Oryctolagus cuniculus: one gene and its partner. The protein of the gene in region 1 interacts with the protein of each later gene in a pairwise test. Links are inferred from orthologs where the notes say so. Each region holds a gene or a part of one and is shown on either strand. Other genes may lie near its edges.

What was found. The genes of interacting proteins can lie anywhere in the genome.
Region 2: the proteins of DHX15 (region 1) and RBM5 interact in binary tests that used the Homo sapiens proteins (3 or more experiments, as listed by UniProt). The link is inferred for Oryctolagus cuniculus from reciprocal best matches to the Homo sapiens genes DHX15 and RBM5.

Annotation. Positions count from the first base shown.
Region 1 is NC_091433.1:19,757,226-19,760,881, reverse strand, and holds part of DHX15 (ATP-dependent RNA helicase DHX15), read left to right. Parts: intron 1-1,782; coding exon 1,783-2,001; intron 2,002-3,656.
Region 2 is NC_091441.1:99,195,374-99,199,029, reverse strand, and holds part of RBM5 (RNA-binding protein 5), read left to right. Parts: intron 1-2,031; coding exon 2,032-2,092; intron 2,093-2,351; coding exon 2,352-2,417; intron 2,418-2,672; coding exon 2,673-2,833; intron 2,834-3,602; coding exon 3,603-3,656. UniProt on the Homo sapiens protein: Component of the spliceosome A complex. Binds to ssRNA containing the consensus sequence 5'-AGGUAA-3'. Regulates alternative splicing of a number of mRNAs.

The sequences.
Region 1 (3,656 bases):
AATAGCCACAACCCTGGGACTGGGCCAAGGCCGAAGCAGGATCCTGAAACTCCATCCAGGTCTCCTGCATGGGTTAACAGGACGCAAATACTGCGACCGTCTTCCACTGCTTCCCCAGGAGCATTTGCAGGGAGTGGGATCAGAAGTGGAACAGCTAGGAACATAACTAGCACTCAAGTGGGATGTCAGTGTTGCAGGCAGTAACTTAGAGCACATACCGGCCCCAGTAATATATTTTTATGGCATATCTTACTAGTTTCTGATCCTTTCTTTTGGCATATTAATTAATTTATTTATTTGAAAGAGAGTTTCAGAGAGAAAGAGAGTGCTTCCATCTGCTGCTTTGCACCACAGATGGCTGTAAGGGCTGGAATGGGCTGATCTGAAGCCAGGATCTTCCAGGTCTCCCACATGAGTACAGGGGCCCAAACACTTGGGCAATCTAATTCTGGATTCCCAGGCACATTAGCAGGGAGCTGGATCAGAAGTGGAGTATCTGGGGTTTGACCCAGTGCCCATATGAGATGCTGGAGCCATAGGCAGTGGCTTTACCCACCATGCCACCGTCCTGGCCCCTTTTAGCATATTTTTGTAACTGTTGCTCACCTTGTCTTTCATCCCTTCATTACGTACAAGAGGGCTCATTTCTTTAAGCAGTGTCTTTGTTGCTCAGATTCCTGTCATCTCAGCCCTCAAAATCACTGATAACGCTGGAACAACTACCAGGACAAGCACTCATCAGAAGGACATTTGTTTACACTTGTGTCTTCCTTTTTTTTTTCTCTCTCCTATACCGCTTAGATCTTGGCCAGGGTTGCCGTGTTAAGGGTTTAAAGCTGACTGAATATTTTCTGACATTATCTTATCAGTCCTTTGACATATAATTTCATAAGTGGTTTTTTTTGACAGAGTGGACAGAGAGATAGGTCTTCCTTTGCCGTTGGTTCACCCTCCAATGGCCGCCGCGGCCGGCACACTGCGCTGACCCGAAGGCAGGAGCCAGGTGCTTCTCCTGGTCTCCCATGGGGTGCAGGGCCATCCTCCACTGCACTCCTGGGCCACAGCAGAGAGGTGGCCTGGAAGAGGGGCAACCAGGACAGAATCTGGCGCCCCGACCGGGACTAGAACCCGGTGTGCCGGTGCCGCTAGGCTGAGGATTAGCCTGTTGAGCCGCGGCACCAGCTAGTTTTGTTTTTAAAATTTTATTTATTTATTTGAGAGGCAGAGTTACAGACAGTGAGAGGAGAAGCAGAAAGGTTTCCTTCCATTGGTTCACTCTCCAAATGGCCACAACGGCCATAGTTGAGCTGATCTGAAGCCAGGAGCCAGGTGCTTTTTTCCGGTCTCCTACGTGGGTACGGGGGGCCCAAGGACTTGGCCCATCTTCTGCTGCTTTCCCAGGCGAAAGCAGAGAGCTGGATTGGAAGAGGAGCATCTGGGGACTAGAACCGGCGCCCATATGGGATGCTGGTGCTGTAGGTGGAGATTAACCTACTGTGCCACCATGGTGCGGGTCCCCAAGTTTTGGTTTTGAAAGTGTTGGTTCATGTAAATTTACATGTTTAATGTTTTACTTAAAATTTTTAAATAATTTGTAATAAATAACATAACTTGCTGTAGTTCAGGCTTTTCTGCATTTGATATTTAAATCACAGTGTATTTGAAATTTTTAAGCTTTATAATAGATAACAATGAAAATATTTTTACCTTTACTATTCTGTTTTTTGAGACCATGTAAGAACCCTTGAAGACAATTTCAAGTAGTTTACTGTTTTCTTTCAGGTGATAGTTATGAGTGCTACTCTGGATGCAGGAAAATTCCAGATTTACTTCGATAACTGTCCACTCTTAACTATTCCTGGGCGTACACATCCTGTTGAGATCTTCTATACTCCAGAACCGGAGAGAGATTATCTTGAAGCAGCAATCCGAACAGTGATCCAGATTCATATGTGTGAAGAGGAGGAGGGAGATCTTCTGCTTTTCTTAACTGGTCAAGAGGTATTGTCATTGTTTCCTTCGTTAATAGCCTTTGACACATTTCTATCAAGCAGCGGCCTTGATTTAGATATTAACTATATTTTTCTTATCCCGTTGTTTGAAGTTTTTCTTCAACCTGATTGTACTAACATATTAAACATGACCCTTTTATTTATGTACTCTGGGAAATTTTTTTTTCTTTGGCGACTGATTGTGTTAATTATAGCAAGAGTGTTAAGTGCTTTTAGAATTTCAGGATTTAGCAGTTGTATCAATTTTGATGCAGCCTGGGTTGTGTTATTTTGCTGATGCATGAATTGGAATCCCAGCTCCTGTAAAATCATGCATTTCTTCAATTCAAAATTGGTTGTTTTGGTTATGAGTGAAGTTAGGTGTCCATCCACCCTCAAAATGTTTGTCTTCTTTTTGTTCGTTCTTTTGCATGTGCTGAGGATTGAAGGGATCAGTGAAGTTTCCTAGTTAGAACTTCATTTTTAGACAACAGATTTTCATGTGTAGTAGCTTTTCTTTTTTCAGAAGTTTTTCATTTGAGAGGTAGAGTGACAGAGATATCTTCCATCTGCTGGTTTACTCCCCAGATGGCATTAAGGACTGGGCTAGGCCAGGTGGAAGCCAGATTTCAGGAACTCCATCCTGGTCTTCCACAAGGATGGCAGGGTGCCAGGTACTTAAGCCATCTTCATTGTTTTCCCAGGCACATTGATGGAGAGCTGGATAGGAAACAGCAGCAGGGTTTTGAACTGGCAGTCTGATATGGGATGCTGATGGCTGCTTCACCCACTAGACTACAGTGTTTGCCCCACAAGTGTACTATTTCTATTTTTTTTTTTAACAGGCAGAGTGGACAGTGAGAGAGAGAGACAGAGAGAAAGGTCTTCCTTTGCCGTTGGTTCACCCCCCAATGGCCACTGCGGCCGGCGCACTGCGGCCAGCGCACCGCGCTGATCCGATGGCAGGAGCCAGGTGCTTTTCCTGGTCTCCCATGGGGTGCAGGGCCCAAGTACCTGGGCCATCCTCCACTGCACTCCCGGGCCACAGCAGAGAGCTGGCCTAGAAGAGGGGCAACCGGGACAGAATCCGGCGCCCCGACCGGGACTAGAACCCGGTGTGCCGGCGCCGCTAGGTGGAGGATTAGCCTAGTGAGCCGCGGTGCCTGCCTACTATTTCTATTTACAGCAGGGCATTTATAGGTATGCTATTAAATTCTTCAAAGGCTAAATGCAAGAAAAGCTATTTGGATAAAACAACATTTTAGGAAACCATTTCATAGAGATTGTTATGAGCTTTTTTTCTTTTGATCTCATGGGCCTTGTGAATTTTCCAGAATATAATTTTTTCTTTTAACTATTTCTTTGTTTGAAAGGCAGTGTTACAGAGAGGCAGTGGCAGAGATAGAGTGGGTAGCAAGAGCGAGCTTCTATCTGCTGGTTCACTCCCCAGATGGCCTCAAAGGCCGGAGCTGGGCTGTTCCAATGTTTGGAGCCAGGAGCTTCCTCCAGGTCTCCCATACGGGTGCAGTCCTTGGGCCATCTTCTGCTGCCTTCCTATGCCATAGCAGAGAGTTGGATTGGAAGTGTAGCAGCTGGGACTCCAACTGGCGCTTATATGGGATGTTGGCACTGCAGGTGGCAACTTTATCCGCTATGCCACAGTGC
Region 2 (3,656 bases), on another chromosome or scaffold:
CCCATGTAGGAGACCAGGAAGAAGCGCCTGGCTCCTGGCTTCAGATAGGCGCAGTTCTGGCCGTTACGGCCGCTTGGAGAGTGAACCAATGGAAGCAAGACCTTTCTGTCTGTCTCTCCCTCGGACTGTCTGTAACTCTACCTCTCAAATAAATAAATAAAATCTTTAAAAAAAAAAAAAAAAAAAAAAGCCGGCGCCGTGGCTCAATAGGCTAATCCTCCACCTTGCGGCGCCGGCACACCGGGTTCTAGTCCCGGTTGGGGCGCCGGATTCTGTCCCGGTTGCCCCTCTTCCAGGCCAGCTCTCTGCTATGGCCAGGGAGTGCAGTGGAGGATGGCCCAGGTGCTTGGGCCCTGCACCCCATGGGAGACCAGGAAAAGCACCTGGCTCCTGGCTCCTGCCAGGATCAGCGCGGTGCGCCGGCTGCAGCGGCGGCCATTGGAGGGTGAACCAGCGGCAAAGGAAGACCTTTCTCTCTCTGTCTCTCTCTCTCACTGTCCACTCTGCCTGTCCAAAAAAAAAAAAAAAAAAAAAAAGATCCAGGTTCTAAGATCAGTATTTGGAAAATGGTTAAGATGCCACATACGATGTTTGCATCCCACGTTGGAGCTGCTTTGAGTCCCAGCTCCTCTGCCTCAGGTCCGCCTTCCTGCTGATGTGCACCCTGGGATGCAGTGATGATAGCTCAAGTCCTTGGGTACCTGCCACCCATTTGGAAGTCTCAAATTGAGTTCCAGATCCCTGCCATTTGGGGAGTGAACAAGAGGATGAAAGATATCTTTGTATATGTCTGTTTCTATGCCTTAAAAAAAAATTAAAAACCCAGATTCTAAGCCCAATATTTAAATTACAATTTTAGATATGTTTTTGCTTTATTGAATTCTAGAGCTCTAAATTTGTGGCATAGTCTCCTAAATTGTTCTAATAAAATTTCTTAAGAACCTTGCTAAAGTAAAATCTGCTATGGTCCTCTCTCAAGTGCACCATTTTGAACTTGGTGTTGGCATTGTTGTTTTTGAGAGTGCTTAAATTCTTTATACGCTTCCCCTTCCAGTAGGTGACCAAATAGTCTTCATGTTGGGTTTGTTTATATTGAGTGGTGCAATAAATGCTGTCTCAGTATAAGGAAGAACTTCACCAGTGGCTGGCTATAGGTTGTTTTAGGTTTGTTTGTTTATTTGTGATTTTGTTTGTTTGTTTTGCTTCTTATTTGAGAGACTCAGACAGAACATTCTCTGATTCATTCTCTGAATACTCAGAATGGCTGGGACTGGGCCAGGCCAAAGCTCAAAACTTAGGCTAGTTCCCCTGCATTGCTGCTTCCCAGGGTCTGCATTGGCAGACAGGTATCCAATAAACTCAGGCACTCATTTTATATGGGCATCTCATCCCTAGACCAAATTCCTGCCATTTCTGTAGTTTTTGATTGTGCTGAAACCTTTTCCCAACTGGATAAAAATAATTAAAAATACAACACAAAAATTTTGAAATTCACATAGTTGGGACCTGATATTACGGTGTAGTGGGTAAAGCTATGCATATCCCATATGGGCACTGGTTTGTATCCTGGCTGTTCCACTCCCAATTCAGCTCCTTGCTAATGGCTTGGGAAAGCAGCTGAAGATGGCCCAAATACTTGGGCCCTTGCACCCATATGGGAGACCTGGAAGAAACTCCTGTCTCCAACTTTGGCCTGCCACCACTGTGGCTGTTGCCACTTGGGGAATGAACCAGCAGATAGAAGATTTTCTTTGTAACTCTTTAAAATAAGCAAATGAATCTTTAAAAATTCATATAATATTCTGAATATTTAGCTTTTGCCCATTTGTCTCAGAAATATGTCAGTTTCTGATATATATGTGTGTGGGTGTGTGGGTGTGTGTGTGGGTGTGTGTATATATATATATATATGTAGTATTTACCCATGTTGCCATTGCTCTAATCCACATATCAGTGGAAAGCCTGGCCTAATATAATAATAAAATAATTACCAAGTCAGGAAAATAATTACAGATTTTTTTTTTTCCCCAGTGCTGGCTGAACAATTTCAGGAAAAGACTAAAATGCTTCCGATGTGGAGCAGACAAGTTTGGTAAGCGTGGTTTTAGCTATTTGGAATGTGCATTAAAACTTGTCTAATTGGATTATTGTCTGTGAGTCTGGTCATGGCAGTTCTGTTCTGGCCCAAAATTTCATCCTACATCAACCGTGTCATAATTATTGAGGCTTTGCTATAGCCACAAATCCTTAAAAAAAAAAAAAAAAAGACTGATAGATGTACATCAAATTTACTGAAAATACATTGGTGTTTGTTTGGCTTGCCTTCATTGGGTGACTTTCACTTCTTCCAGACTCTGAACAGGAGGTGCCCCCAGGAACCACAGAGTCAGTTCAGTCTGTGGATTACTACTGTGATAGTAAGTTGAAATGTGATCTTTTGGCCTGTGTATTAAAAGTTAACCTCAGTTGGAAATTTTTGTTCTCACCCTTTTGAATCAGCAACAGCAGCTTCAGGTTGTCCCATAAAAGATGAGTTTTAAGAATCTTTTCTGTGTCCGGGTAAAAATATTCTAGGAACCTCCCCAAATGGATGTGTTGATACTTGAACCTGCCTTGAAAAGCATTGATGGTGGGAATGCATTTAATATGTCATTTTTTTCTTTCACCCCTAGCGATCATTCTTCGGAACATAGCCCCACACACTGTGGTGGATTCCATCATGACAGCGCTGTCTCCCTATGCGTCTTTAGCTGTCAATAACATTCGCCTCATAAAAGACAAACAGACCCAGCAGAACAGAGGCTTTGCATTTGTGCAGCTATCTTCTGCAATGGTGAGGTTCTCATTGAATCTTTGCTATTAAAAGAGACTTTAAGAGGCAAATATGGGCCGGTGCTGTGGCTCACTTGGCTAATCCCCACCTGTGGCGTCGGCACCCCTGGTTCTAGTCCCGTTTGGGGCGCTGGATTCTGTCCTGGTTGCTCCTCTTCCAGTCCAGCTCTCTGCTGTGGCCTGGGAAGGCAGTGGAGGATGGCCCACGTGCTTGGGCTCTGCACCCACATGGGAGACCAGGAGGAAGCACCTGGCTTCTGGCTTTGGATCGGTGCGGCACACCGGCCGTAGCAGCCATCTGGGGGGTGAACCAACAGAAGGAAGACCTTTCTCTCTGTCTCTCTCTCTCTGTCTGCCTGTCAAAAAAAAAAGAGGCAAATATGGTTCATCCAACTGTGATACCCTTTATGAGGCTCCTGGAGCTCAATGTGTGAGGCTATATAATGATGATTTTTCATTGCTAAATTGTGGAACTCTTTATGTTGATAAGTAGTAAAAATGTTATATCTGAGAGAACTGCCAGAACTGAAGATTGAGCATGCTTTATTCCTTTGAGCTTTGTTTTAGATTAATTTTCCATTTAATAATACCGGATATCTTCATATCCTGTAGGTGTTTCTTAGTGTTTCATGTCCACAACACAATAAGGAGTCAGTGCTCTTTTGTTTCTGTTTTCATAGAAAGCTGTTTCTTTTGGATGGATTAGATGATGAGGAGAGACTTTGAATAACTTCATAGAATTGTTTTTTGCTTTTCATATTCTGCTTCAGGATGCTTCTCAACTGCTTCAGATATTACAGAGTCTCCATCCTCCTTTGAAAATT